Linked DNA regions of Xenopus tropicalis. The protein of the gene in region 1 purifies or fractionates together with the protein of each later gene. This does not show direct contact. Links are inferred from orthologs where the notes say so. Each region holds a gene or a part of one and is shown on either strand. Other genes may lie near its edges.

Region 1 (16,566 bases):
TTGATTGTGGATGTTGTAAAGAATTTTTGTTAACACAAAGATTTTGTAGATGTTTTAAAATGTGCGCAAATTGACTCCAAACGGCTCTAAAGGTAAATGCTAATTCATACACCTGTTCCTATTATAACTATTACTATGGATATATGGATTTTTTGTAATGAAACTTTTTTTCTGTATATTAAGTCCCAGTGTATGTGGCAGTATAGCAGTACCCTTTGTTCTCAGGCTAATTCACTTTATTAATTAATTCACCTTCTGCAAAAACCAGTAAAGTTATAGGACCCGTTATCCAGAATGCTCGGGACCTGGGGTATTCCGGATGAGGGGTCACTCCATAATTAGGATCTCCATACTTTAAGTCTACTAAAAAATCAATAAAACCTTAATTAAACCCAATAGGATTGTTTTGCATCCAGTAAGGATTATTTATATCTTACTTGAGATCAATTACAAGGTACTATTTTATTACTACAGAGAAAAAGGATATCCGTTTTAAAATTCTGAATTATTTGATTAAAATTGAGTCTATGGGAGATGGCCTTTCCCGTAATTCGGAGCTTTCTGGATAACAGATTTCCGGACAAGGGATCCCATACCTGTACAAATTATTGTTCCCCCAATGCACCTGCACTGAATGAGAGTTAATTACAGGGCTCCTTTTCAGCCATTTATAAAGGGCACACAATTTCAAGTAAAGAATAATAAATAAAAAAATAATTTATAATTATGAACACAATGATTTAATAGTTTTTAGATATTTTTGTAATCAATCTAGCAGGCATGTTTACCACTTACATGCTCTTCCCATAGTCTCTTCTCTCTTTTATCTGCTTCTCTTCTCTTTCTCTCAAGTTCTTCTTTTATTAAAGCAGCTCGTGCATTTGCTTGAGCCTGCAGAAGTAGGACAATTTTACTGATTAATGAGGGGCAAACAGAGAAATAAAAGTTTGCATAATGAAAGCTAATCCAGAAGCTCATAACGAATAAAATAAACACTAATTGAGCCTTTCCTGCAGTATTTAGAGGTGCAGAGGCTTCTGGTTTTATTTCTACTTACCTTCAAAGCTTCAATTTTCTTTCTTCTTAGTTCAGCGTCTTCACTGCTTTCCTTACCATCTGCGTCACCTTCATCCCCCTGGGATAGAGGCAGATTATACAAATCTTCATGATTATTTAACATATCACAAGGATTTTGTTTAGTAATGATCATGCTCACTCTGCCCACATATTGAATCAGATCTAATCTTAAACTTCGTTTCGTACGATATTCAGTGCGTGTATGGCAAGTCGGCCAATATCGCAGGAGGCTGCTGATATCGGTCGACTCGCAGATCGGGCGGGTTAAAAGATTTTGATCGGGCGCCATAGAAGGCGCCTGAGCAAAATCTGCCTTCAGGGCTGAATCGGCAGAAGGAGGTAAAAATCCTATTGTTTCTACCTCCTTATCTGCCTTTTCAGCCCTGAACGGTTAGTGGCCGATTGAACGATCTTTCGTGCGACCGATGGTCGCACGGAAGATCGCAAATCGCCATGTGTGTGGCCACCTTAAGACATTTTTCTTAATCTGTACAGCTGTCCCCTTTAAAGGGGCTCATATCATTTGCTGGGGGGTCAGGCTAAAGGAAACATAATGTAAGACTTGAGAATGACTTTTTTATGCTCCTAGATGGAAGATTTAAACTATGAGGTGAGACTGTCGAGGTTGAGGTTGTTTTCTCTGGAAAAGAGGCGCTTGCGAGGGGACATGATTACTCTGTACAAGTACATTAGAGGGGATTATAGGCAGATGGGGGATGTTCTTTTTTCCCATAAAAACAATCAACGCACCAGAGGTCACCCCTTTAGATTAGAGGAACGGAGCTTCCATTTGAAGCAGCGTAGGTGGTTTTTCACGGTGAGGGCAGTGAGGTTGGGGAATGCCCTTCCTAGTGATGTGGTAATGGCAGATTCTGTTAATGCCTATAAGAGGGGCCTGGATGAGTTCTTGAACAATCAAAATATCCAAGGCTATTGTGATACTAATATCTACAGTTAGTACTAGTGGTTGTATTTATAGTTTATGTATGTGAGTGTATCGATTGGTAGGTGTGGGTTAGGTGTGCTGGGTTTACTTGGATGGGTTGAACTTGATGGACACTGGTCTTTTTTCAACCCTATGTAACTATGTAACTAGACTGCTGAAAGTCCATCTTAGAAGTCAATTAAGCCTTAAAAGGGCTCTTCAAGAGTAAAAGTCCAAAAAGCACTGCTCTAAGGGCTTTAGCACACAGAGTACTTTGATCAATGCTACAAGTCACAGAATCAAACATGCTGTGTGCCACTTCCCTAAAACTGCAGGAGAACAAAAAGCCACTTTAAAATAATGGAACTAATGCTCTGTGCTTTATTCTTCAGAAGACAAGGAAACAGGCCCAGCCTGTTTTATGTGTCACTGCATTAAGGAACAAAACTACAGCACAGATGTGGTAGAACAGTAGCCATGATCAACCCGTAGAGCAATAAGTTTGGCAAGTAAATAATCATACAGTTTTATATTTCTGTTATTTTCTATTAACCTTTTTTATAGCAGAGATTTTTACTACTTGCCTTTGCCCCTCTCAGCTTGGCTTTTATTTGTTGTCGCTCATTAAAATTCTGGAGTCTGATTTGTCTAAGTCTTGCTAAATACTCCTAAAATGCAAAGAAAAGAAAAGGGAACACAAATACACATTGTATTGTCTTCATCTTAAAGTTTGTACAGTGGAGCATAGAATTCTTCCACATTAACCGAACACAGGAGTGGCAACAGATTTCAGTGGGTTTTAGATCAATGACGAATGGGACTGTTGGATCAAGACAATTTAGAAATTTAATCGGGAGAGTGGCTGTTGACTGCTGTCAGTGTGGAAATCCTCTGGTATAGGGCTAAAAGAAGGACACATACCAGTGTAGGAAATGAATGGTTGCCACTGTATGATCGCCAGGATTTTGAACAAGGGAAACTGAAGCAATCCAACAACTTTGTGTGCCAATAGACAATAAGTAGGTTCAGCACAAGCACATAGAACTCATGCTAAACACGGAGGCATAGTGCCCCTTTAAAAAAAGGTAATTAATTTACACTGAGTTAATGTTAAAAGGCAAAGCCTTGAACTCCTTCCACATTTTCTGATCTATTCACACAATTATTCATTCAAATGCAGAATGAAATACCAATAAGAACTCTATAAAACAGGAAATGGCACAAAAAGAAAATGCTGACATGTAAAAGAAAAAACAAAACTTTATGAAAATTGATGTAACTATATAAGCTGAGGTTTCTTCAAGAGTATGATAATTAGGCAAAAACAATTACAGCAATTCATTGCTGCAGACTGCCAGCCCTATATGGCACCCACTGGTCATATCATTGAGTGCAAAACTCCTTTGGGACTGAATGTAATGATCAGAATTCCTTTAAGGAACAGTAACACCAAAAAATGAATGTGATTAACCTTTTGTGAGCCACACTTAGATGTAAAAAGTGTTGGTGAACCTTAGAAGCAAGAAAAAAGTTCTCTGGGGATGCCAAATAAGGGCTGTGATTGGCTGTTTGGTAGGCCCATGTGGACTGCTGTCCTGCAGGAGGGTCTGCTTGGAGTGAGACTACGTCTTTGTGCTTCCAAAACTTGCCTCCAAGCCAGAAAATGGGCCCCTACTGAGGCCACTGAGAGCAACAACAAAGGGGGTGGTGAGCAGCATGTTGCTCCCGAGCCACTAGTTGGGGATCAAAAGCCCAGAGAGCCATTTGATTGCAGGAGCTGACTTACTTGACAAGAGAAATGGCGATGAATGGGTTGTCTGGTTTGCCTTCTCTTGGATCAACATAATAAAGCTTTAACATACTTAATGATTAGTTACCATTGTAATTAGGTATAATGTCTGAGGAAAAGTCACGAAGCAACAGGATGGTTGTAGGTTTGGCATAGAAAGATGCACTTTATAAAGACTGTCCATGTGTTAAGTTATAATGGGTACCACAGGTAAATAACCATGTTATCACACAGGATGATAACTGCAGAAACAAATTAGCTGAGTAAAGCTTTATCCACAGAAAAGCCAAACAAGGATACAAGAAATGCAAAGTAGCAAAGCATGGCAGACTTTAACAAATCTCTTTGCACACAACAGGGGCTCACAACGCATTAATCGGATAACAGAAAGACCACAAAACCATTCAGACACTGAGATGCTAGCAAACAATAAACACATGAAAAATGAAAAACATACAACAAATAGCATGATATGGCAAACAGCAGATAGGCAAAGAAGATTCTTGCACATTCCTGATCCATTAAGGATTAAATTGGTTAGCCTTTTCAGCCTCCAGCAGTGATGTGTTAAATAAATTTTGGACTCCTCCAAAGCTTTCCACAATATTTGTTAGGCAAAACATTTGGGGAGCATGCACAAGGATACGGTGGTGTCAGGTAATGGGGCAGTGAGGGGGCGCAGGCATGCTGAAGCCTACCTTTTCTTCTCTGTTGCGTGCCTTGCCTCCTCCTGCAGAATTTGGCCTGCCTCCACAGATAGCTGCCAGGTTGTGCACTGCGTCCTGTTCACCATTCAATGCATCACATGTAAGAATGGCAGGAGCTACAGCCCTTTTGAAATCATCTATGTTACTGCTCATCCCTTTCCTCATTCCCCTTGTAATCCTCTGTCTTAAACCCCAAAAATTAGTAATTTCCAATGACCTATAAAGCCGAACAGTGAACTCAGTTATCTTTACTCTAAAGAGTAGAAATGTGTATGTGAGCTTGCTCTTTCCAAATCAGCACTTAGCAATCCAAATGAGGAGAAAGCACTAAGAGCATCTGTTAGTGGAAAGTATTTTGCTTATGGCTCAAGGCAAAGCTATTGCAGACATGTATTAAAGTAACTATACAAGAAGCACTTGAAATGATTATTAGTGGTTCCTACTGCTGGATCACAACACTTCCTCAAGGTAGATTGGGGCAATCCAACAGCCCTATGTGCCACTGGCCCGTTGGTTGCTCTTCACAAGTCAGCACAGGTAGAACAGCAACATATGGAATTTGGTAATCCATAAAAATGGAAAAAGTTTAAACTTCAAAATTATTCAAGCATTTAAAATTGTGTTGCACTATCATGGGAGGGTTGGATTAGTTAATCCTTCTATTCAAATGGATGTGCTTGGAGGATCAAAACCTCTTGGATATAATAAGGACAGATTCATTTCAGATTGTGAACATATTTAATTGATTCTTGCAAGGATCCTAGGAATCCGAACCCTACCATATAAATAGGGTTTAGAATGGAATGGGAATTGAAAGAGATGTTCTAGAAAAATGCTGCACAGTTTAGATTTATCATGTATTTATAAAGAGCCAACATATTCCACAGCACAGGTTTTCCATTCTAAGTGATCAATAATGACGTCACATTTTGATGTGGAAGAAATTAGCATGGAAACCCCAAAATACTGACAATTGCTCAATTTGCTTGGTAGTGATTGTAAATAATGACCTGATTGCTGAGCGGCTATGTAAAGAAATTTGGCAAAGCCAACCTATCATACTAAAGTGCAGCAATAAATGAAAGGCAGGGTCAAGACCACTGATCTACTATCGATTTTTGCTGCCTGAGCAAAGCTTGTGTAAATGTTCAGTGGTTTTATCTGTAACCTCCATATGTTTAAACCCAGAATTCCAATGCTGTGAGTCTCCTTGCTAAACTAAACACAAAACCATAGATTAATGCAATGAATTATTTTAGCAAAGCCAGCAAGAAAGAGTGAGTTAATGGCAATGAATTATAAGCTGCACCACCTCGCTGCATCTGGCATTGGGTTTTCAGGACACACACACACCCACACACATAAACAAAGACTTTAATAAATGGTATGGTTTTTTACGTGATAAAATAATTTATATTGCCGGATCTAACACAGGGGAATTATATTTGGCTTGAATAAGGCTAATTAATGTCCAGAAAAATGCACAAGGAATGATTGCAACATATTGTAAACCTAGGCTAAAGTTGGTATAGATATTAGAAGTTAGAAGATGGTCTCCAAAATACACCTTGTTCTAATTCAAACATGTCCTACGAGTTCTGCAGTCTTTTGATATTTCTAGCATGCAAGTCTGAATTTAATGCTATAATTTAATATAGCAATTATCATTGTATGTGCTTTATATTTAATAACAAGCATGACAGCAAGTTCCATGGAAGGTACTTTGTAATGTGTGGCTCATTTAAGTGCATACCATACAACATGTATATAAGTGTGCAGCGTAAAATGTACTTTGTACTGGATACCAACTATAGCACAGTAGAATGTATGATTATATGTACAGTAGTTTATAATGTGTATAATGTATTACACCACAGGATGTACATTTCATGTGACTTACTGTACTCTGCTATCCAACAGATTAATAACATCATTCCACACAAAAGATACCAAAAATGAAAAACTGTTACATTATGCTGCTTACAGCCATTGATAGCTGATATAAGCATCCACTATATGAATCTTTTGCAACTTTTACATGTGTGCCAACCACAGCCAAGCAAAAGTGAATTGCCAACATACTGCAAGCTGAAACTGAATGAATGCCGAAATTCCTGTATTGTGAATCAATGCATTTGATAAATCATTGGGACACCTAAGGCTAGTGGCGCATTCTATGTTCTTTGGATTTCAGTGCTAAAATGAATCATGTTATACACCAAAATCTGTCCAGTTTGTGTCCCAACAGGCCGATACTGTGCCAGTCAATGCATGCAGAACACAGCGTGGAATACAGCAGATCTGCCTTTTCTCTGCCTGTCTGTGGAAATCAGCTAAGTTTTGTTTTCACATCTAAAAAAACCACCCCCGAATCACCATAACTCCTCAAACCATAACTACGGTGTCTTTGTCACAGAGACAGGTATTTGTCTTATTGGATTGCCAAGCCAAAACATAAGAAAAGGGTCTCCTGTTTCCCCATGATATTATTTATTAAATTCTTGATTTTTTTGTCCCTTCCATAACTGTTGAGCACAGGGACATGAGACTGAAAGATCTGACATAAAGCCACCCATTCAATTTATACAATTACTCACTATGCTCATCTGAACACTTATGGAATTTAGATTGCTTTTTTTTTTTTGTAGATGATGACAGTTAGTACACTGCTAATATCATAGGTGTGTGAGGCTAATGCCACATGGGAATGATTCTCCGATAAATGCATGCCAAAAATCAGCCCCTATGTTGGCATCAGCATCATTAACAGGAATGCCCCCTGCTGTTTTGTTGGAGCAAAAGTTCAAGTTACTAAAGCGGGAAGCATTTCCTTATGCTTCTCTGCACAACTTCTATAGCTCTGGTCATACTGAGTGAGAGAACTGAGCAGAAATCCATCAAGATACATTTCCTGCATCAGCAGATTAAAGGACCCATGCAGTTTAAAAGTGCAAAAAGGTTCAAAAGTGCTCTGAAGAGCATGTTGAACAATTTTACATTGTTTTGTGGGTGGGCATATGTCCTAATTCTCTCTGCCAGAGGTGCTTTTGTGATGATAGATGTAGGGTTCTCTCGTCTACTATGAGGCACAAAATTATTACACAGAGCACCAGGTAAGCTTGCTTTCATGGGAGCTCAATTTTTAATGACCTTGGTTATTTAATACTAAATGATGATAAAAGAGATAAAGAAGCTTCCTGAAATATACAAAACAAATTATACTGGCTCAAACCCTTCTTTATGTTTTCTATAACCCTATTGGTGCTGAGCAGGGTAACAGGATATAACACATAGGAAGATCAGTGTAAATGGTAACTCCCCAACCTTTACCCATGAGCCACATTCATATGTCAAAAAGGTTGGAGAGAATCATAAGCATGCAAAAATTTCCTGAGGGTGCCAAATATGGGATGTGATTGGCTTTTGGTAGCCCCTTTTTAGCCTGGCAGCCTACAAGAGGATGTGGCAATAAACATTTTTTTTTATCTTTTTTTGCAACTAAAGCTTGCCCTCAAGACAGAAATTAAAAAACGAGCACAGGCACTGAGGCCACTGGGAGCAACATCCAAGGGGTTGGTGAGCCACTGGTTGGGGATTACTGCCCTAGACAAAGATCATTGGGGACCATACAGGCCTATAAGGAAAGCATTCAAGACAGGAGACAAGGGGCAGAAACTACTTAGTGGGTTATCTCTATCACATTGAAAAACGAAAAGCTGCATTGTGGGTAAAAAACATAGTAACTTGCATCTGAATTTTGCTCTTTCGCTGCCTTTGCAAATGAGCCCTATAAAAGAAAAGTGTAAACATGCTGTTTCCCTACCATATGTCCCTCTGCTCGAGCCTTATTTTGCATTGCTTCATGCTTCCGTTGCAAAAACTCTTCAACCTGTCTTGCCTTTTCTGCAGAAACGTGTCCTTGAATCCTAAAGACAGAAAACATGACATAAATTGTCATTATTGTTATAGTTATTTTGCAAGACAATGTAATTTATTACTTCCATCAGACACACTTTTAGGGAAACTTCCTGGAAGTGTTAAATTTGCAGTGGAGTTCACATATAAGTAGGTTTGTATACTGGGGCATGACTAAATAACATTTCTAAATGTGGCCTTGGTTCTTGTCCTTTTACGATCATGTATTTAAAATTGTCCTGTCTTCAGATGGATTTAAGTAGCCATAGGCTTTAGATGTTGCCTTGTCTCAGTTGTCTGGGTCTAGTCTGGGTATGACCCTTTTCCCTTTTTCTAAAAGAGGCTAGGAATGGAGGGGTATCAAAGCAATTAAAATTCTATAAAGTTTGGTAACTAGCTTCAATTGGTTGCTAAACCATAATGTATACTCATATCTAGCTGATCTGTAATTATTATTAATTGTTGCCAAAAAGCTTGTTTTAATTGCAGGTATTTAAATAATTTAGATGGTCTTCCTGGTAGTCTGGTCTTGATTTGGTCATAGTTTTTAAAGTTGCCTTCCTCTACCAGGTCTGCAAGATTCTGATTCCGACAGCAAGCCAATGTTCATATTGCAGTAACACTAAGTGGGAGGTGCCCCACAAAGGTAAATAAAGAGCAAACAGGAGTAGAGTCATGGTCCAGATCCACTATGTGCCATTTAGCACTAGGTGGTTGAAGTATAGACTGGACTACAATGCCATAGTTGTTTTTACATTACAATATAAAACAGAGTTATGCTACACAGAACCTTGTATAATGGATAACAAGAGAAAGAATGAAAAGGAGAAGATCTGCTTATCAACCTACAATACAAATTAGATATAAAAACCAACTTGTTGCCAATGGCTTGATTGTGTACTTCTTGCAGCCTCTTCAGTTCCCTTCTCACTGCATCACCATCTGGGAATGGAGAATGAGCTGAAGGACAATTTTCTTGTTCAGGATGCTTAGGAACTCTGTAGGCAACACAAATCTGTGAGAGATCCTTGTACTTGTCGAGAATTCAAACTATGCATTCAAACCAGCTAAAATCCATTCTTACCTGCTATAAGTGTCAGGATTTTGGATATCTGCCTTTAGTTTCACCTCTTTTTCCACTGCTGCTTTGATGTTTTCCTTCTGCTGCTGCATCTGATCAAAAATGGAATGGTAATGCTCATAGGGACCTCTACCCATGCCTTGTGGGGGTGCTACACCTCCCCCTCCACCAAAATAAGGTGCCTAAAACAATAGATGGTCAATAACATTATACTACATACTGGGTGTACTATATCAACACATACAGGCATTGTATTTAATACAACAAGCAGAGTTGTTTCATCAGTATCAATGGTATCTCTAACTACCAAGTCCTTCTGAGCTTGATTGCATTTTATATTGTTGGGCTCATCAGAGATAAGCCGATGGTGATCCTTACGGAAACAGACAAGATCCACCTTAATTTTCCAATAGTATTCTCAAAAAGAAAATAATGACACTTTTACTGAATGTAGTGTACATAAAAAATAAAAAAGTAGTGGCTTTTATCAGTTTGAAACAACAGGAATGTGAACTAAGGATTATATCCCAATGTCCCATTCCACTTGAATGAAATGTGAATCTTGTTTATAAGCACATATTTCATACGATTGACTTTATTTCAGGTATGAGTCCCCTCATACCTTAATATCTCCGCTTCCTCCTGAGCTGATTACATTTCTCCAGCCTTGCTCTCGTGCACGATTTATTCGCTCCAACTAGAAATAACAATATAGCGTCAGTGTTGCAGCCTGACATGTTTTTTTATTAGAACTAGTCTTATAAACAAGCAGTAAGATTCTGGAAATCTGGGAAAGTCTGCAAAAAAGTATATTCTTTACTAGGACAGTTCAGAGGAGCTGTGTAAGATAACTACAACCATATTTAGGAGCAGCTCATGATAAATACTGCCCACAGGATTAATGTTTAGCTGCAGTAACAATTTAGTTTAAAGGAAATGTAGCCGCTGTACTTTAGAACCAATACAATGGCACCTCAGCGCAACCAGACCAAAAACAGTTTGTCAATATTGCCTTTACTCTTCCAATAAACATTCAATGTCATGGATACTTTGGCTGCATGCATGAGATATGCAATACTATACTACAATGCTGCATAAGATGGGACAACAAAATCTTCTGTAGAGAATACTCTCTCAATATGTTCAAAGCTAAACTCAAACCCCTTGCAGCACTGGCATAAGATCTATTTTAATCTTAACACTTTTTAGTGTAAAAGAATATATTATATTTAGTTATTCATCTTTTATAATTATATTGTTCCCAGTAAGTTCCATTAATGTACTGCTTGTATATAACACAATTTGCTTAGGCAGTTTTGTACATTCGTACATATAGAAGATTGTATTTATGCAGCTTTCCTTCAGAAAAACTTGCAATTACTCTGCTGACATCTACTGGTCATGCAAATTTAGTGTATGAAAGGAATAATTATAGCTGAAGCTTAAGACGTTAAGTATATTTAGTAGTATCCAGCAAAATGGATACATGGTACATATTCCCACAGGATCATTGTTACAATACTGTAAGCAAGGTGTTGTCATATTTTGCACAAGTGGGATCTAGTATCCAGGATGCAAGGGACCTAGTGTTTTCCAGATAAGGGATCTTTCCGCAATATGAATCAACGTGCCTTAAGTCTGCTAAATAACAGTTAAGCATCCAGTAGTTTAGTTGGAATCAAGTACAAGGCAATTTACAAGGCAAGATTTATTATTACAAAGAAAAAGGAAAACGTTTCTCATTTTTCACACAAATTAGAATTATTTGCTTAACATGGGAGATGGCCTTCCTGTAATTTTGAGCTTTCTCGACAAATGTTCCAGATAAGGGTTCCCATATCTGTATATGAATTCTGTCTTGTATGTTTATGCCATGGGTATTCCCTATTTCTGTATGAAACTAAAGAAATAGAGGGAAGGATAGAGAAGAGTATGAAAAAAGAAGAGACAAGTAGACCAAAGAAGGTAAACAGAGGTAAGAACATTGTTTGGAGAGTTGGTCTAAGGTTTCCTGGCGGGCCAAACATGACCAAAGAGGATAAAAAATATAGACTTAGGGACAACAGGTACATTTAAGAACATTATGCATGTACATAATCTTACCCTTTCCTTTTCCAGTCTCCTCATCTGTTCGGCCCTTAGTAGATTAAACTAAAATGGCAATAACAGAAACAATCTTTTCAGTAAAGCATATTTTAAAAAGGGGGAACCATTAGAGTATCTGCATTAGGCAAGAGACCAAGGACTGCTTTAAACAGCAGAAATGTGTAGGGATAAATAAATTACTTCTGGCACCATAAAAGCATGGAGATAAGTTACTATGCATGCTAAGCTCTATAGATTTAACAGATTCTCTTCACTGAACTTCCAGTGCATATCCAGAGAACTACAATAAAGGCACAAAAATTATTAAATGGGACCTGTCACCCACAGATAAAAATCTGTATAATAAAAGCCCTCTTCAAACTAAAAATGAAACCAATTTTTTTGTTACAAGCACATCCATCAATACCTGTTATTAAGGTGCAGGTATAGGACCCATTATCCAGAATGCTCGGGACCAAGGGTATTCCGGATAAGGGGTCTTTCCATAATTTGGATCTCCATACCTTAAGTCTACTAAAAAATTAATAAAACATTAATTAAACCCAATAGGATTGTTTTGCCTCCAATAAGGATTATTTATATCTTAGTTGGGATCAATTACAAGGTTCTGTTTTATTTCTACATAAAAAAAGGAAATCAGTTTTAAAATTCTGAATTATTTGCTTATAATGAAGTCTATGGGAGACAGGCTTTCCGTAATTCGGAGCTTTCTGGATAATGGGTTTCCGGATAAGGGGTCCGATACCAGTATTTAAAAAGCGGTCAATATAATGCCTGCCCTGCCCCATCTCTATGCCTCAGACATGGGGACGGGGCTTACCCTTTCCATTTAGCATCACTGCATTCCTCACATCCCCCCCTCACTGCTGTGCATGGGCATTAGGTTCCCTATTCTAGTGAATACACATGATTTGGAGCCACTGCAAAGCTTGCCTTAATAAAAGTGTTCACAAAATGGCACCAGTCTATGTGCTCTAATTGTGAATTCCAAAACAATTAAGGAAACGAGATTTAAAGAATTTTTAGTGTCAGTAAAGTTTATTTTGCTACACAAACACAACAGAAGAGAGTTTGGAACTATTTCTTAGGGTGACAGGTCCCCTTTAAAGGAGGACTAAACCCTAAAAATGAATATGGCTAGACATGCCGTATTTTATATAATAAGCTTATTGAACCAGCCTAAAGATTCAACACCTCTATAGTAGTAATAATCCAGTCCTTTAAAGTCACAGGAGTGACCATAATGGACACTTCTGCTAGAAGTGTCTGCCACACTCACATACTGCTGATTCTCAGCAGCTGTTGAGAAGCTAAGGGGTCGTCTGAAATTATCAAGCAAAGAAAATGATGTTTGTTATTTAAGCTGATCCTAATGGGCTGATGATTAAAGTCTGATGCTAATAGCACTGGTTTCAGAGCTGCCATGCAGTAATCATCTGTGTTAATTACTAATCAGCCTAATATTGTGACATTTATATCCCATATATACATTATATTGTGCAGCTGCCCCTAAGCTCAGTAAGTGACAGCAGCACCGAGCTTGTGCAGTGAATCAGCAGAAAAGAAGATGGGGAGCTACTGGGGGCATCTTCGGGGACATAGATCTTTATTGCTAAAGGGCTGTGGTTGCCTTGGGCTGGTACAGAAGCACAAAACATAATTTACAACATTTCTAGCCTACGTCTTTAGTTAGGCTTTCATTCTCCTTTAAGAGTCACCAGAGATCAAGACAAAATAAGTTACCATTTCTTAATTGGAACATGTCAGCGTCCCTTAAAGCAAGTAGAGAGCCACAAATAATACCTGTTCCCGTTGTCTTTTTTCCTTCTCCAGTTGTCTAACATCCATCCTTTTTTTCTTGGCCCCGTCCTGCAAGAAATGCAATTCTAAATAACTCCTAGCAGCAATGTAAGTAAAGGTACTTCTTCCAACCCAACAGGTTAGTGGCGGCTGAGCCATGAAGTAGAAGTGACTGAAGGTTAAAGGGTGAGAACACTAAACAAGGAGGAAAGGTTTGAAGGTTTCCCTGCAGCTAATCTGTGTAGCTGACAGTTCTGAGACAGAAATATGGGCAACTTTCTGTATACCTCAAACATTTTCCTCCTTTCGTCTACAGGATTCACTTTCTTCAGTGGTACTGCTGGGGCCTGGACAAAGAGTGAAACTATACATTAGATTAGAATTCCAGATGTTCCCTGCATGAAGCTGCGCAATATGACAATTAGGAATCACTGGAATAATAAAAAATGGCACTGACAATGCTGCAAAAGTTCAATACAGTTTCACTGCTAAGAAAAAGTTAACAACCATCAGACTGCTGTGCTAGCATCAGTTTCATCCATTAAACAGTATCAAGGGAAACCAATAATTAAAACAAAATAAAAGTCAGTTTAGCACAGGGATTATTAAGCACCAATTCCAAAATGGTACCCAGAATGTTGCTACACTAAGGTGTCCAGATAGGGGCTCTATCTGTTGTTCGAGGACCAAGTAAACCATAAGCAGCTGTGTATTATATAATATATATATAAATGAGCAATAACTCCAAATACTTTGAACTGCACACAGTGCAGTAGTATAAATATTTTTTCTCCTCCTTAATTGGCCAATACTCAAATGAGGCAAGGGCAAGCACTGTATAATTAGACAACCATAACGGCAGTTTGGTTTTATGTATTTTCTACATAATTTGCCATTTTATTTGGATTACTCCAAAAAACACATTTAAAGTGCCCATACACGTGAAGATTCGCTCGCTTGGCGAGGTCGCCAAGCGAGCGGATCTTCACCCGATATCCCCACCTACGGGTGGCGATATCGGGGAACATGTAGGCTTATTCGATCGTTTGGCCCTGGGGCCAAACAATTGAATTATAATGGAGGCAATGGGGCAGTCGGTTCGGGGACCACATCAACGAGCTGATGTGGTCCCCGATCCAACTAAATCTTTTAACCTGCCCAATCAATATCTGCCCAATTTCAGGCCAGATATCAGTCAGGCATGCCCCTCATTTCTGCCCCTACACTGGCCGATAAGCTGCCGAATCGGTCCAATATATCAGATCGATATCGGCAGCTACAATCGGCCCGTGTATGGCCACCTTTAGGGTTTAGGGACATTTAAACATAAATTCTATTTAGACAATATTAAAATTAGTTGAGTGAGTGATTAAACCTGAATGGCACAAAAGCTGTGTTGGCAATCCAAAAGCAGGCCATACATTATAAGATGTACTTGTTTGTTGAGATTGCTAAATGAGTAGAACTTTGCCTGATTTTACCACCAACACAATAATCTGAATGATACATGTGCCCATAAACTGCCAACTCAGGGGCAGGCTTGCACAAGCCTGTCTTAGCAGAATGTAATGTGACAAACATGGAATAACCTGACTAAAGAATACTAGAAAGAGCTCCTGTTTGTTTACTAACAAGACATGGGTATATAGCCGTGCAAAGATATTACCAACTCACCTGTCTGTGTCTGATTTGGGGTTTCTTATCATGATGCTTCTTTGCAGCATCTGAAGATTTTTTTGTTGTTAAAGGCACTCCGTATTTAGCAGCAGGTTTAGTGATTTTGTGAGCAGGAGGGGAAGCAGGAACCACTTGTGCTGGAGTTGGTCTTTTGGCTGATTAAGTATAACAATAATGCAGCATGTTAAAATCAAAATTATGACAGTAAGGGCCAGATTTATGAACATTCAGATGGTCGTGGTTTTAGAGATTTTTTAAACCATAAATAAACTCATTGCCACTGAAACCACAAACAAATTAAAAAACAAATTGAAAAAGCACCAACGAACTAAACTGTGGAATAAAAATGAAAAGAACACGAAAACCACAAATTTTTTGTGGTTTTTACATTTTTCCACAAATATTCATGGACATACAAACCCCTCCTCCACCAAAAAAACCTCTCAAACCACAAATTAATAAAGATTGTTACAATTTGCCAACAACTGTTCTTATTGATTTGTTCGTGACCTCAACAGCTTTTAGATGGCAGGGTAAATGACTTATATCCTTTCTTCTAAATCACCACAGAAGAGTAACTTGTTACACACAGTAAGCATTCAACTTTTTTGGGAAAGTTGGAATGGCATTGAAATAAATGCTTCAAACCTCAGTTGGACGGTATGAATCAGCATATTAACATAATGAAGGATAATTGCAACACTCTGACCCAGCACAATGCATGTACTTGCCTGCTGCAGCTTGGATCCCAGGTTTGGGGTGATTCACAAAGGCTCCCAGGCCAAACTCTTCAGCAATATGCTGATTGCACATAGGGAAGTAGAAGATAAAAAAAAAAACACAACACTTTAAGTATATACAGTAAGAGGAAACTTATGCAGGATTTATGGAAAGGTACACCTCTGAACTATGTTACAAACTAGTCTAGTGATGCTGAGAGAAAAGCTGATCTGTTGACTGGCAACAACTTTGCTCTAGCAGGCCCCTCACGGGCTGCTTTGCCTGCACAGATGTAGGAGAGGGTCACAGAACACAGTGGGCCTCATTTAAAAACATAGAGCAATTTTGTAACAGAACTATAAGCCATAGCAACCAATCAGCAATTAGTTTTTAGCTGTCTACTGCAATCAGTGATTTGTTACTATTGTTTACTATGGGGATTCTACACTGGTACAAAATTGACCAATGAGTTATCACTTGTGCAGTAACCAATAGCAACAAATTACTTTTTTGTTTTCATTATTCTTCCTGCAGAATTCAAAATAACTGATTTGCTGCTATAATTTACTGTCCAGGTGTAAAATAGCCCAAATGGCTCCCTACTGTTATACTGCCAGGAGTAACCTCCTAGGTGAAGCAGGAGAGCCCTGCCAACCCCGGAATTCCCCGACGCCTTTTTGCAGCCCCGGATTTTCTGCAGTGGCGTTGACAGGGATCCTACACATGACCAAGGTTAATCAACGAGGCACCAGAGGAATTAGGCGAATAC
Region 2 (16,566 bases), on another chromosome or scaffold:
GGGAACAGGGAATGTGCATTGATCAATCCCCCTCTCTTTTTGTATGCTTGTAGTTTATTTGGCCAGATCACTCGCACTTCCATTGTATTTGTATACTCTATTTAGCCTTGGAGTGCTCCCACAACCCCTTTCTGTGTACCCCTTTAAAGATACCGACTGAAGAAAAAATAACAACTCTTGGCCTTTAATGTCTTCAGAGATATCTGAAGCATGAGTGGTTCTTCAGGTCTATAACCTGCTAATATATTTCCAGAAGCGGCAGCAATGTCCGGAACAGGCTGGCTTACTTACGAGAGAGATTGGTGCTAGGACCACAAGACTATGGGGCACATTCATCAATGTACGAATGGGAATAATTTGTATTTTTTCTAATTTAGGACACAGCTAATGTGCATGTGCCAAAATGTCTAATTCTAAATTTTGGCATATAAACAGAAAAATAAATGACAATCCTAGAATTACAACAGGCATGAAACATAAGTTACTGCTATTCAAGGCTACTGTAAAGAAATGTAGAAAATAAAACTGCAAAATAATGTATAACTCAAACCTGATGTAGTAAGACATGATAAGAGATGAACATTGTGGACTAAACAATACAATAAAACCCTTCTAATATACAAAATATTCAGTACCAAGAATGTTATTGTACTATTAGGAAAAAAACAGTTACCTCTGGACCTCCCAAAAGATTCCTTGCCAAAAGCTAGCTAACTTGCACATACATACCGGTACATACATACTGCAAATGATAAAAGTTGTATTTACCACTGAACAATTTTAAAGTAGATAGGAGGAAACAGAAAAATCCTCTGCAGTCACTCATAAATATAATGGGGACATTAATACATTTTATGCATAAAACCTAAAAATATTCTCTTCTTTTACTCAAAAAAGGGATTGTTTGTGAAAATATTGTAATATATTCAAGCTGGACAACTGCCACATTAAATTGCCCCCCCATACATTTACCTGGGTTCTCATGTTCTCTCTTGAGGAGAACATTAACTGGTATCCCATACCAGCTAATGCCCACACCTAGGCATTTGTTTGGCTGTTATTCAGGCTTAGAACAATGGGGGCTTAAATGGCCTGTTACATAAATAAATAAAAATACTATAAAAGCATTTACAAATGATTTTCACCTAAGCAAGCAATGAATATTGAAAACCTAATATGGCATTTACTGAGATCTAAACATCCTCCCACAGGTCCAATAAAGAATAGCAGTCTACAGCAGGTTAGAAGAGCTTATTTCACATTTTCAAAAATATGTAGATTACCAGTCCTGGCCTCAAGTGCTGGCACTGGCATCTGACACAACCACTCCAAACTGTGCTGTTCATCTGCCTTTGTATGGCATAGGGCATGAGCAATGCACTGGGCCGCTGAAGCAATCCTTTCCTGATCAATCTGTACAGACACCTAGGGGCTGATTTACTAACCCACGAATCCGACCCGAATTGGAAAAGTTCCGACTTGAAAACGAACATTTTGCGACTTTTTTTTAAGTAAATCAGCCCCCTACTGTTGGCCCAGGGACCAAATCATCATGTCAGCCCTCTGCCTGTGTCACCAAACCAGCAGATGGTCAACTTTAGTTTGTACTGTGAAGCGCACCATTTATAGAAAATGCAATATAGTATTTTTGTTTGAAAAAATAGATTTACTGAAATTTTACGAATATGTACCACTGAACACAAAATACTGAGTATGGCTTCATTTACACAAGAGAATACACATGAACAGCACTAAACACATTACATTCAAAAAAAATGTTAAACATACGGGACAAACAAATGCATCATGTAGTTAAATATTTTAATTTTTGGTGTTACCGATTGTTTAAGGGAACCATATTTTTTCAATTTTCTCTCAACTCAATTACATTTACATTTTTTTTTCAGCATTCTGACAATAAAGATGGCATTGTACATACTTATGGCATGATTATAGAAAAAGTAGACCCATGTATAGGTAATGCCTAGGCATCTCTGAAGTAAGTATTTGGTGGATTTACTTTGTAAGGTTGTTATACTTTGAAGGGAGAAAACACAGTAAGTTGCATGACGTCCATCTTGTATGTGCACTTTTAGTTTTGACATAATGCCTTATGTTTCCTGCTGGAGCTCTTTCTTTTTTAACTGGTGAAGTCTCTGTCCGGCAGTTCTCTGAACAATTTCCAGTCCTTCAGTGTCCAGGTCTTTCAGCAGTAATAAGACTGCATTAAGAATGTTGTTCTAAATGAAAGACAATAAAATAAAACATTCAATAAATCAATGAATCCTTATCTCCCAATTCAGTTTCAAATTCTAATAGACCTATTGTGCATTCATGAAAAAGTGAGAAAAGTTTCTCACTGAATTGTGGCCCATAGTTGGCTACTGTGTGGTCCATGGTTGTCTGACAATGATGCAAGTACAGAAATGGGACCTATTATCCAAAATGCAAGGGCCTTGGGGTTTTCTGGATAAGGGTTCGTTCTGTAATTTGGATCTCCATGATTTAAACATTTATTATTCTTTTGCCTCCAATAAGGATTACTTATTACTTAGGTGGGATAAAGTGCAAGGTACTGTTTTATAAATGCAGAGAAAAACGAAATCATTATTAAAAAATAATTTTTTTTCTTGTGGCCCTCCCATCCAAACTTTCTGGATAACTGGTTTCTGGATAATAGATCCCATACCTGTACTCGTACTCTAAGTTTAACCCAGTACTTTACTCCAGGTTTTATCTAAAATTAACACCATCCCTTATGGCTTATATTCTAACAAATGCACTCTTAGACTGTAAGCTATAAGGGCAGGGAACTCCAGTACCTTTTAACATGTTGCATTTAATCTTTGTAACTGTGTATATTTATTGTTATGTTTATCCCTGTCTGTGCTGTTAATATTCTGAAGAAAAAAAAAAAAGTACAGTAATGAATATACTTATGAATATAGCTGTACTGTGTGCACACACATCAATATTAGAGTTAGTTTCTTACAAGCAATTTAACTTGCTTTAACCAGAAGTTGCAAGATTATCATTCCAGGGTTTGCCACCCTATGGCGCTGGCCCTCTAGGGGAATCTGGGGAAAAACCTCTTATTAAAACAAAGTTGCGATTTGAGAGAAAGGCTAAATTGCTAATAAAGAGTTTTTTTTCTAGGCTAAGAGGCCTAGAAAGGGGCTTAAAATAAAAAAGTATTGAGATATAGCTGTTTATTATAAACCAGGGGTTCCCAACCTTTCTTAGTCGTGTAGTAAATAAGACATTTGTGGAAACGAGTTTGTTCGATTTTAAAATTTTAAAAAATTAGAGAAGTTTTTGTTTCAAAAACAGACATACGTTGAGTCAACAAAGACTGACATTTTATTTAAAGCACAGACTGGGACATATGCTTTTCAACTGAAAACACATAAGAACAATGGCTGTCAAAATGATATAAAATTATTACTGTTCTTAATTTATTCACGTAAGAAATAAATGTAAGCGTATTAGGTGTATTAGCAAGCAACAAAGAGGGTCAGCAAGGTATTATCCTGCATTAAACTATATTTGGCAGCAGATGAGAACATTTTGGGAAAAGGAGCAAGGATATTGACCACAGACACACGAAAGGAAACATGGTGAAGGCCACCTAAAACAGAAGGTAATAGCACAGATACAACCTAATTGTTAGGATCCAGACCAGGTAAAAATTAGCTTGTAGGACTTAAAGGAATAGTAACACCAATATTTTACATTAAAAATATACCTTCCTAACATATTAACATATGCAATTGCAATTAACATATGAAATTGCAATATTGTAAATGGTTTATAACAACATTACCATTCATGTACAGGGCAAAGCAGAAAAAAAAGTGATGTGGTGATTGCTTGACTTCCTGTTCAAACCGAAAGTTAGTTTCCTGCATTCCCTAGAGTGTCCAGAGTCGGCTTGTGAGTGATTAATTGTTTTTTTTGTGACGGTTCAGGGACAGGGATGGGGGAGTTTTTCTTCTTCTTCTATCCTCTTATCTATCTATGATAATGATATTTATTCAAAATGAACTTATAATATTCAAATTTTTGAATGCTATTAAGTGTTTTAAAAGAGATATTTTGAATGTAAAATATGTTACAGGGTAACATCTTAAAGCCTGAAGTAGAGATGTATATACTATAAACTTGAAAGCTTGCAATTTTTATTTACTCGGCCTTACCTTACATTTTCAGTTATTATTCTTGTAAGACTGGCAATGCACTAAAATGGCAGACATGGCTAGAGAAAAATCCAGCCCCAAAGAAGGTAAGTAGCTGTATTGTGAACTCTAAACTAAACACAGAAAGGAACTGTGCTAAAATGAGAATTTAATCTCAACAAGTGCTGCAGAGAATGGGAAACTAAAGCAGTGCCACCAGTGACTAAACAGCTTTATAGAAAAGGTTTTTCAACAGTAAGTTGTATAAAGTCTCATCTGTATCACACAGAACACTGTTTCTGAACAAAGGAGAACAGCAAGGAAATCTGTAATTGCTACAGGACATAAGCTGTGGCTTGTTGCAGGTGAACTAATAAGGTAGGTAATTAACACAGTCTCTGCCTTTAATTCAATTTGACAAGGCTCTGTTTGGTGGTGCAAAATTTTTTTTGTATCAAATTTGCAGGAGCCTTTAAACTGAGGAGGAGCCCGCACTCCGGTTGGAGGAAACAATATATATATATATATATATATAATATATATATATATATATATATATATATATATATTTTTTTTTTTTTTTTTTTTTTTTTTTTTAAATACCCCTTTTACAACACTAGGCTGCCTGAACCAGGAGGGAGCTCCTGTGGTGGGCAGCCATGTTGTGGCACAGACATGCGCATTATGAGCAAATGTCACAACTCGTCATTATGCTCATGTGTGTGACGTAGGCGGGTGAGTCACATGCACCTCTCCTACCTCGCACTTATGGGCATAATGAGTGAGCAGGGAGCTTCGCTCATTATGCGCATGTGTGCTAAGTTATGTGGCCGCCCCCTCCCGGGCCTGGTGCCCTAACGCCTGCGGGGGCTGTTTTTTTTAAAAAAAATCTATAGTTTGCCCAAACCGGAGTGCAGGCTTTATTGTCATGGGTGCCCTTTATTAGCAGGTCATACACATAAGACAATGGTATGTTAAGGTCAGGTCATACACAAGACAATCTTATTTAAGCAAGTTGAAGACCATAGGATTCATTTGCAAACCCAAATGCAACGTGCAAAGTGCAAAAAAGGATGCAATTAGCTCTGCAGTTGGGGGGAGGCATGTAGGTGTCCTTTCTACCTTGTGCGTCACTCTGAGGTGCTAGGTAGGAGCAGCAGGACACACAGCCCACATTGGACCATGTCCTTAATTCATGCCAAAAGGCAGGACTGAACTGTGCTCTTCACAGAGTTCCAGATTTTTCAAGGGGGTCCCAAGTACTTAGGAAAAGAGTACTAAGGGCCAAGCTATTGCACGTGTGCTCTTGTTTTTTTCATATTTTAAATAAGGTAGCAATATTTCCTTAGTGTTTATGGAGCTGAAAAGAGCTATCCTAAAAAGTTTTTTATAAAACATTTGTTACACTCCTTATAAATTTTAGCACATACCCTTTTCTTTCTGCTACCATCTCCATCCGTTGGTGATGAGAAAGAAGAAAATTTGTCCCTGGGGAGCGGTTTCATGCCTAGTTGTTCCCGAATTTTGCTAAAAATTTAAGAAAAAGATGAAAATTATCTACAGTCCATATGGATCATAATTTTACAAACCTATAATAACTAAAGTGCACACACTTTATCAAATTTGGATTTTTAGCCATTTAGACTCATAGTAAATCTTGAAAAAGTCGCAGACTTTGCGAAAGTCTCTGCGACTTTTTCGGGGGAAAAAAATGAATCGAGTTTAAAATAAAAAATCACGCAAGTCACGTAAGACTAACCCCTCTATTGCAATTACGTATTGGCTGCACTCACAAAGAGAGGACTAACTTATTTCTCAGTTATATTTAAAAATACTTTAAAAATAAAAGCTATACGGAGAAAGTGCACAAAAAATAAAGAAAACTCCCACAAAACTACAGGATTTTATTTTTTTAATGTGAAAGGCAAACAGTGCTATACCACCTAATGCTGAAGTTCCCAGCAGTTTCACAAAGATCTGCAGTTTTCCTATTATATCTAAATTGTAAATTAGATCTGAATTGTAAATTATATCCTTATGAACGGTGCTTAGTGATGATCAGTTACAATCGGTGCTTAGTGATGTAATTTCTGTCACATGACTCACTAAAACTTGTATATTATAATAAATAATAAAAAAGTACCGCCTGTTGTAAAATATGAGGATATTAGAAGTCACTTCATAGTTTTATGACCTGTATAAAATGGTTATATGGTCATGGAACTCCTTGGTGACTGATAATATCCTTATATTTTACAACAGGGGGTACTTTATTCACTATATCAGTGCTGTCCAACTGGCGGCCCGCGGGCCGCATGCGGCCCGCGACCCCCCTCTGTGTGGCCCCCCACCTGTCTGGCTGCTTTGATGGCTTACCTTTGAGTAAGCATTAAATGGTATCAGTACTGAGATTAACTGGCCCCCTGCATGGTTCTCACTTCAGATTCAGGCTGTAATCCCTCTGCATTGTTTAAAAATGTAATCCCCTGTGTTTTTCACACCTTTTAGTTTCTGCATTGTTCAACCCCTGCAGTGTTCACACCTCAGGCTCAGACTGTAATCACTCCCATTGTTCACTTCTTCACACCTCAGACATAGGTACTGTAGGCAGAGTATGGCACATACAGCCAGCATAGGGCAGGTAGAGTATGGCACACACAGGCAGCATAGGTCAGGGAAGGTATGGCACACAGGAAGGGTAGGGCGGGCAGAGTATGGCACACACAGTCAGGGTAGGGCAGGCAGAGAATGGCACACACAGGCAGCATAGGGCAGGCAGAGTATGGCACACACAGGAAGGGTAGGGAAGGCAGAGTATGGCACACACAGTAAGGGTAGGGCAGGCAGAGTATGGCACACACAGGAAGGGTAGGGCAGGCAGAGTATGGCACACACAGTCAGGGTAGGGCAGGCAGAGTATGGCACACACAGGCAGGTTAGGACAGGCAGAGTATGGCACACACAGACAGCATAGGACAGGCAGAGTGATGCCTGTGTGTGCTATACTCTGCTTGCCCTATGCTGCTTGTGGGAGGTGAACCTGGCAGGGGTTTGTTGTGGGAGTTTGTTAGCAGTTGGAAATAGCCATTAAATTGTCCCAAAGGTGTGTAATTATGTACTGGGGGTTGCTCTGCTATCCACAGGGGAGGAGGAGGCATATGGAATTTAAGGGTATATCTTAATATGACATAATTCTATCACATATGAATGATGGTTGATATCCCCACAGTAAGGACCAAGCATTTGGGATTTTGCTGTGCTACCACCATTGTGATAAAATGGGTGTGGTTTGAAGTGGGTGTGGTTTCAAAAAGGGGAGTGGTCAAAACTGGCTTCCATTAGCGGCCCTCCACCATGTATGCTAGAGAAATTTCGGCCCTCGGCACCGTAGAAGTTGGACAGCACTGCACTATATAATATACAGTTTGGTCATTTCCCTATGGGACCAAACTGTAAATTATATCCTTTTAAATGGTGCTTAGTGATGATATCAGTTATAATCGGGGCTTAGTGATGTAACTTCTGTCACATGACTCACTAATACTTGTATATTATAATAAATAAAGTACCACCTATGGCTTCGTGCTGGTCATGGAACTCCTCGGTGACTTATAATATCCCTAAATTTTACAATTGGGGGTAAAAATACTATATAGAGATCATTTAGAAAAATACATATAAAAATGTACGGGTCAAAATCAATTATAAACAAATTCAGTAATAAAAAACTGTGTTTAGAATGTAACATATCAGACTTTATTCTCATACTGTACTATCCTATGGCACAGATATACCTTCTAATAACTGAGATATACTTTTTCATCCAGCATCTACTTATACCCTGAGAGTATTACAGTACGCTTGGAGTCATAATTTTAGAAAAGAATGGAGGGCCGCAGGTTGTACATATAGCATTATAAATCTTTACTTGGTGGCAGACAATCAGAACTTTGAAAACATATAATTTACAGGATATTTTTGTATAATTGTACAGTACAGTAGCACCATGGTTAGCACTGATGCACCAAAAACGCTCCAAAATGGCCTGCTCATAAAACCACAGTGATTTTTATAGTGGCCTTAGATTGTAAGCGCCACTGTGGCAGGAATGTTGAACAATCTGTGCAAAACTCTGCAGAAGCATGTTGGTGATGCATAAGTAAAGCATAATTATAATACTCAAGTATTATCAGTGTATAACTCTGAACTGGCACTGCAAGAAATGTTTCTGTTCCTCTTTGTTGCAAAGGCTTCCTTTGGGGACTCCAGTTCCCCTCAAACCCCAAAAACACACTGTGCAGGCACTGGTTCCAGCCCAAAGTCACCCTACTTTGTGTACAGGAATTTAAATAAACAAAGTATAGTAAAAATAATCCTTTGGAAATCTAACTGAATAAACCCAATCCAATCAAATTCTTACTTGGTTTCTTCCATGCTAAAGTTTAGCAAATCATTTTCTGACTCTCTGGTACCATAGTTACGGTCTATAGATGTCTCATCATGACTGTTGTCTGAATTTGATATTTTTGTTTGGGGGCCTGTCAGTTCTTCACCATCTGTAAGGGCTTGAGTAAGTTCCTCCTCTGTCACCACTATTGAAAGAAGTAACAAAAAAATAATACTGAATATTAAAAATTACTTTGTATAGTCTCTATTTTCTTGAACAAACAGCGTTGGAATTCAGGAGAAGCTGCACTGTACCTTTTAGGTATGTCACATAGTCAGCCCGCCCAAAACACCTTTAAATTCCATTGTTACCTAAAGAGAAAATGTACTGAGTCTTAAAGGAACAGTAACACCAAAAAATGAAAGTGTTTTAAAGTAATTGAAATATAACGTACTGTGGCCCTGCACTGGTAAATCTGGGGTGTTTGCTTCAGGAACACCACTATAGTTTATATAAATAAGCTGCTGTGTAGCCATGGGGGCAGCCATTGAAGCTGGAAAAAAGGCACAGGTTACATAGCAGATAACAGATAAGACACCATTGTATTCTACACGGTTTATGTTAAAATATAAAAATAAAAAATATCCACTGGAGAGCCAAATGCGTTCTGTGTTGTTTATTAGTTTAGAGATGCATAGCACGCACTACATGTTTCGGACCTCTGGGGTCCTTCCTCTGGTGCAGTATAAAGAACACTAGGTGAACACCTTTTTAAACCCCCACTCCACCAATTAAGTCATGTGATAAGGATACCAGCTCCATCTAGTGGCCAGGTATAACAATTACATAAACAGAGCAATTAATGGAAATTACCGCAGGGTCTATCCACATAACACCACAAAAATATATAGTATCTTTATGTATCCAAAACGTTACTCATACAATCTGGTAGTTCAGTCCATTGTAAAGGTAGGAAGCAGTATAGGCCTCAATCTGCAAAAATATTTTTAAGGGGTTATTAGCTTGACAATGTATAGTCCTGTGGTTTACAGAAAACATTTGAGACTCCAAGCCTCATTCATTCCCCTTGGTTCAATAGTATTAAGAGACTCAATCCATTTCGCTTCAAGTCTCAATAGCATGGCTTTTCTGTCCCCCCCTCTTGTAGGCATAGCAACCTGCTGGAGGACCATCCAGCTTAGAGTGGTTACATTATGTCTTTCATTAAAAAAATGTCTGCCCAACGGTGTGTGTGTCTTTTTCTTATTAGGATTAGCTGCTATATAACCTGTGCCTTTTCTTCTTTTAAATGGCTGCCCCCATGGCTACACACCAGGGTTTATATAAACTCTAGTAGCGTTTCTGAAGCAAACACAAAACTTTTACCAGTGCAGGGCAGCAGTACATTATAGTTTAATTTCTTTAAAATATATACATTTTTTGGTGTTACTGTTCCTTTAAGTGTGACTGTAAGACCCTACAATTGTTATAGATCACTTTTAATTATCCCCTTAATATGCATTTGTGCACTACAGTTACATGCATTTTTAATGGAGCACTGTATAAAAATATATCATAATTTAGAACAACTATCCACCATTTGTGACAACAAAACGTTACATGGACATATTTCTAACAGTACAGAGTACTTAATATTGCAAGTAAAAATGTATCAAGCTTTGCTTTTTTTTTTTTTGTACTTTTCCTGTCATGAAAGACATTGACTGTAAAAATTATAAAAATTTCATTAAAACAAATTTATTAATTGTATATAGCCTATCAAGTAATCCTAACCCTTAAAAACAATGATGGACAGCCAAGTGACATCTGTAAGGTATTGAGTCTAAGCGACAATTCACCATATTTTATGTAGATTGCATATAAATATAAAATAATGACAAATCAGTTAATCTTTATAGTGAAATAAGAGGAAGATTAAACTGTATTAATAGTAATAATAGAACTAATTATAACAGGTATAGGATCCGTTATCTAGAAACCCGTTACCCAGAAAGCTCTGAATTACAGGAAGGCCATCTCCAATACACTCCATCAAATAATTAAAATGTTTAAATACAATTTTCCTTTTTCATTAATAATACAACAGAACTTGATCCCAACTAAAATATCATGAATCCTTATCGGGTGCAAAACAATCCTATTGGGGTTATTTAATGATAAAACGATTTTTTGTAGAATAATAATAGAACGGAGATCCAAATTACTGAAAGAAAATTCCAGGTCCCGAGCATTCTGGATAATAGGTCCCATACCTGTATTAATATGAAAACTATAACATACCTGCAAATAACAACATGGCACAGTCAGATTTTTCTTTTCATTTGGTTCACCAAGTATTAATTTCCAGTCATTATTAGTTAGGGCTCTCACACATTCAAGTGTTTTGTCATGTGTTCCCTTGCGGTGGCTTTTTTATGCGTTCACTGCAAGGGAACACATGAGTTAACACAGCCTATTCTTTCCTATAGAGACCATAGTCAACTTGCTACATCCGTGAAGCACAGTAAGTATAGACAATATAGAAAAAAAGGGGCCTACATATACTCATGTTCCCATGCAGGACAAAATCGCTTGCAAAAGCGCTTATAAGACAAAGGCAGAACCAAGGCATATTCCTAATGTTAAATAAACAGGCCTCTATATCTGGAAAATAAAATTAATGTAAATTAACCTTTAAATGCCAGTTTTAACAAGGGGTCCTATATGTTCCAAACTGTTGCTATAATATTTGTGCCAATGATTTAATAAAGGCTGTTTTAAAGAAGACCAAAGGAATGTTGGTATATAATTCGCCAAAAACCACCTACTATGTTCTCTACATGTTTTAATGTCCTAATGGCATGCTACCGGAACTTTTGATTGTCAAACTGGCCTCGCCATGTAAACAACCCAATATGAACCATAAACTCATTTCTTTTATATTAAGTTCCCAGGTGTGAAATAGCAAGAAATGTCAGACGAGCAGTGAAAAACATTTTTGGGATTAATATTATACATAATGATGAAGAGACTGAAATAAATTTTACAGAGATGTAAACAGAAAAGTAATAAAAATCCTGTCTTCATCCAAGAGTTTCAGCAGCGATGAAAGACTTCTGCAGGCTGTAAGCAAAGAGGTTAGTTCTCTACACTTCTCAAATTTGAAAATAATAATAATAACCACAATTCTGTAATGAAACTGCTTTACTGCGTTAAAGTATGGTTCCTTAATGGAGATATGTTATTTTTAGCATTACCTTGATTGTCGAGTTTTTGAAGATTTGGAAGGTTTCGAAGAACTGTCATTCTATACTTCTGAGGGTCAGCACCACAACAGGGGTTTTCCGATAACCATAAAATCTTTAGCCTGGGAAGCTCTTTTAGGTAGTACAGTTCATTTAAACTGGAAATATTATTCTTCCGTAGATACAACTCCGCAAGGTTATGGCAGTATCTTATTGGTTCCAGGGTTGATATGTTATTTACACTGTGAAAAATACAATTACAAACTGAGCTGAAATATTTGTAAATTAGAATTAATGAGCATAGTTCTTCATTAACTACCACTATGAAATAAACAGCATATCAGTCACAGGGAGGCAGATTTATAAAAATTTGAATTTGAGTTTATTTTAATTCTAAAAAATTCAACTTGAAAATCTCAATTGTGTTGTTATTTATGAAACCAACTTCAAACTCAAATCTCCTTTGCCCAAAAATGTGAAAAAAAACACAAACGCAGTGAAATCACATTCTACACTTTCAAATTAATCTTGAATACTTGAATGAAAAAATATCTTGAATTTTGAAAATACAGCCCCCATTAACTTTAACATTCGCCAGCTTTTAGATGCTTGATTTTTTAAAGAAAAGTGTAACACAGATTTAACAACCCTTGTAGTATTGTTCTACAAATAAAGCAATTAAAGTTGCCTTCCATCAAGAGTTACTTGAGAAAAAGAAATTACACTGTTAGCTAGAATGGTCTCTGTTTCCAAGTAACCATGTAGGCAAACCACCAATATTGGATATAATACAAATAAAGAAGGGTGCATCATTTCACACAAAAAAATTATAATGCAACTTTTAATTAAAAAGTGCCAGATGACAATATGACTGCTTTACAGATAAGCTCTGGAGGGGCTCTGGCTTTTAATGTCCAGGATGTGACCAATGTTACTTGGGGAACTTACAAAACAGACTACCGTTTAGCCATAACCATGCACAAAATAATCCATCAACTGACAATTGTCATTAAAGGGGCCATGCCTTTTTTACAGCCTCTTTGAAAATTGAACTTATGACGTTTCTTTGCATGACCTAAGTAGTGGGAAATATCCCAAACTTAATCCAGTGTATGGCACTGGCATTCCTAATCTGATTTAGGGTCAAGAGAGAAAGATAATTTTGATCTCAATCACATATGGGACTGAGAAAGAACTTTAGATACGGGATTTACAACAAAAATTATCAGAACATGGGTTAGTCAGTAAGCAATTATGGCTGAATCTCCCTCCTGATCTTTTTTCTTCCATATTCTTCAGATCACAGAAAAGGAAGGGAAATCATAGGTGAATCTCCAGCATTATTGCTGCAAGAGACTTGCATCAGGACCATAAAGAAATTTGAAATAGAAGACATGATACTTACTTTGTATCAGCTACTGTTAAAGAATAAGTAAACTTTTTTTTTTCTATTAATAAAATTACTCTAAACAGCTTCCCAGATTGTCTGCCTTTGTCCCTCTGTTCTTTCTTACCTGGTTGCTGAGTTACATTCTGTTCTATTCCACTCCTTCTTTGTTAAGAGTGAAGCTCCGCCCCCACTTCCTGTTCAGGTCTCTCACTATACTGACAACTTGTCGGAGTGGAGAGCCCCTTCTGCGCATGCCTGGAGGCAGCAGGAGCCAGCCTGTGTATGAGCAGGGGGTTTTTTTTCCAGGAGGGTGGGGGCTTCTGCTCCTTCTGAAGACACGGTGGATTAAGGTAGTCTTATATTAAAAATTAAGGTAGTGTAAAGTGTAGAGAATAGTAGTCTAAGGCTAAATATATGATTTGTTTTTTTTAACATTTACATCTCCTTTAAGTTAATTTGTGGTACACCAAACATTTTTCTATTATTTGGAACACCAAAGGATTCAGGCTCCACATGTCAGAGTTTAGGCATATTTGCCTAGCCTAGAACATATAGGCTACTAACCCTAATATATTGTGTTCTGCCTAAATCACGATAAATGTTAATTCTTGACACTTTTAAAGCCTATTTGTTTCTGTACATAAACCACAGTTGTGTTTTTGGTGGATTGGACCCATTTAGTGACAGTTGCTGAGAAGAGGCAAAAAGTTGGATGCACTTTGGATGGGAAAGAATACAAGTTCCCTTGACCTGAATGCAGCAGCTGAAAAAACTATCCCCCAGTCTGAGATTAGGAAAGCTATTTTTTGGAGAACCCCCCCCCCCACCAAATAATGAATATAAATGAAGCCCTATTAAAGAGTTGATCAGAATTTGTCCATCTATAACACTAAAAGTAAAGGTGAATTTCAACTTAATAAGGTCTACATAGCTTACACAGGATACAGCAGTATTAGAGCCATAAAACTTCCCACCCTTCATTCCTCCTCTTTAAAAAAAAAAGTAAATATCTGAAAAAGTCTCAATGTAAAAAAAACATTTACAGCACATAAAATATTATTTTTTCTGTATATTGTTTTCCAACCAAAAATGCATTCTGCTAAAAACCTTTTTCTACTTACCTTAATGTCATAACCTCAATGTTGGGAAGCTCATGACATACAGAGATCTTAAAGAAACAAATAATATATTACAAATGTTTATATACAGTCTATATACTTATATATATGACACATATAATCTAAAAGCTTGTCACATGTTATAAAAATTAAAATGAAACGTTAACATGTATAAATAATTAAATAGCATAAAGTCAAATATTATGGGCAGCCCAATAGAGCAATAGGTTACAGACTTGCGCATTGGGCCCTAGCCAGAGTACTATCTTCAAGGATACATATGAAGTCTGTGTGGATTTTCTCAAGGGTACTTCAAAAAAAATAAAAACAACAGGCAATATTAACTGGCTCCTGATAAGTCAGTAGGTGTAGGTGTGAATGAGATAGGCATACACTGTAATTTTCACCCATAGAAATTATATATAATATCAGTAATCTCGTGTGTGTAATGGGTTCTTACAGGCCCCTACTGTTGCAGGGGCTGCTTCCCACTGGTTACACCACTGGATACATTCCCATATTCTATGATTTTCTTTATTTGTTGGATGGATTTTTGCATACATGCTGTAAATACACTTTTGCCTGGAGTAGGGAGGGTATGTCCCAGTATTCTAATTATAGCAGTGCTTTTATTCATAATATATAAGTATTACCCACCATATTTGTATTTTCAAGTTATAAACCTTAAGTGGTTTAGAGTTGCATGTTCGTTTTTCTTTTATATGCTTGGGATAAGGGTTCAAATGTGTTTATTAAAATTAGACTGTTGGAATAATGGTCAGTACAGACAGTCTTGTACTGTGGCTTGCACTTGTAGCAGAACAATAAAACAATAGAGAAGAAAGTATGGTCTTTTATTCCTGCAATCCGTTCCTCAACTGCAGCACCACAGACTGTTGCAAAATAATAGCATCAAAAGAGGGGTGTAAAAGGAACAAAAGCAGATTGGGTCAAAACACTGTGCTTCTGGCATGATGCCACTTCTGGTTTTCTGCTGGTAAAATAATTTAGAATCCTTTCCCTTGTCACCATTATTTTACTTTGTGGCAATGATCCATCCACAATTCCTTTGCAGGATTATCCCAGATTATAGCGCTTTCCAGTCTACATATGTATTTATCATAATCATTTTAACAGAAAGGGTTGCAAACTATGTTCAATTCTGCTGTATTAAAAGATTGCATTTTGTGAATCCCTACTCTTCTGTAGGGTTCTCTTTATCAGATTAACACCCCTCAAATTATTCTTTACCTTTTTAATTCCCTAAAATTGCAATCCCTGGAGAATCTTTTTTTTTTTTTTTTTAAACTTATATTTATCAATTTCCTTCTGACCTTGCATTTTGTTAGTTGGGATGTGATATTGAACCAGTTTTTCTTCTAAATGCCTTTCTATATATATATAATATCTGGCTTAGCTGGTAAAACACCTTTCAAAATGTCATTTGGACGTAAAATGGGTACTAATGGGTACAAAAGCTCATCCTCTCATGCTCATTTAAAAACCACCTGCGTCTGGGGTCTGATTGCATTGTGCACCTAGCAAATTTATGGTGGGGGAAAAGCAGCCCTGTGCCTATGGAACATACAGTATACAGTGGATATAAAAAGTCTACACACCCCTGGTAAAATGTCAGGTTCCAGTGCTGTACAAAAATGAGACAAAGATAAATCATTTCAGAACTTTTTCCACCTTTAATGTGACCTATAAACTGTACCATTCAATTGTAAAACAAACTGAAATCTTTTAGGTGGAGGGAAGAAAACCAAAAAAACTAAAATAATATAATTGCATAAGCGTGCACACCCTCTTCTAACTGGGAATGTAGCTGTGTTTAGAATTAAGCAATCACATTCAAAATCATGTTAAATAGGAGTCAGCATACACCTGCCATCATTTAAAGTGCCTCTGATTAACTCCGAAGTTCAGCTGCTCTAGTTGGTCTTTCCTGACATTTTTTTAGCCGCATCCCACAGCAAAAGCCATGGTCCAGAGAGAGCTTCCAAAGCATCAGAGGGATCTCATTGTTAAAAGATATCAGTCAGGAGAAGGGTAGAAAAGAATTTCCAAGGCATTAGATATACCATGGAACACAGTGAAGACAGTCATCATCAAGTGGAGAAAATATGGCACAACAGTGACATTACCATAATTGGCGCAAAAACAATACTGCACATCACCAAAAGAACACCATACCCACAGTGAAGCATGGTGGTGGCAGCATCATGCTTTGTGGCTGTTTTTCTTCAGC

The links.
Region 2: the proteins of nek1 (region 1) and cfap410 purify together in Homo sapiens (affinity purification with mass spectrometry; 3 studies listed by BioGRID and IntAct, with this or other methods). This does not show direct contact. The link is inferred for Xenopus tropicalis from reciprocal best matches to the Homo sapiens genes NEK1 and CFAP410.

What each region holds. Positions count from the first base shown.
Region 1 is NC_030677.2:50,028,375-50,044,940, reverse strand, and holds part of nek1 (serine/threonine-protein kinase Nek1), read right to left. Parts: intron 15,879-16,566; coding exon 15,809-15,878; intron 15,233-15,808; coding exon 15,075-15,232; intron 13,748-15,074; coding exon 13,688-13,747; intron 13,470-13,687; coding exon 13,404-13,469; intron 11,646-13,403; coding exon 11,598-11,645; intron 10,192-11,597; coding exon 10,117-10,191; intron 9,677-10,116; coding exon 9,498-9,676; intron 9,412-9,497; coding exon 9,289-9,411; intron 8,425-9,288; coding exon 8,322-8,424; intron 4,574-8,321; coding exon of another isoform or gene 4,490-4,573; intron 2,671-4,489; coding exon 2,587-2,670; intron 1,136-2,586; coding exon 1,058-1,135; intron 892-1,057; coding exon 796-891; intron 1-795. UniProt on the Homo sapiens protein: Phosphorylates serines and threonines, but also appears to possess tyrosine kinase activity. Involved in DNA damage checkpoint control and for proper DNA damage repair.
Region 2 is NC_030685.2:48,521,435-48,538,000, forward strand, and holds the end of cfap410 (cilia and flagella associated protein 410), read right to left. Parts: intron 14,366-16,566; coding exon of another isoform or gene 14,330-14,365; coding exon 14,319-14,329; intron 12,050-14,318; coding exon 11,820-12,049; intron 8,768-11,819; coding exon 8,596-8,767; intron 5,703-8,595; coding exon 5,606-5,702; intron 2,241-5,605; coding exon 2,112-2,240; 3' UTR 1,646-2,111; downstream 1-1,645. UniProt on the Homo sapiens protein: Plays a role in cilia formation and/or maintenance. Plays a role in the regulation of cell morphology and cytoskeletal organization. Involved in DNA damage repair.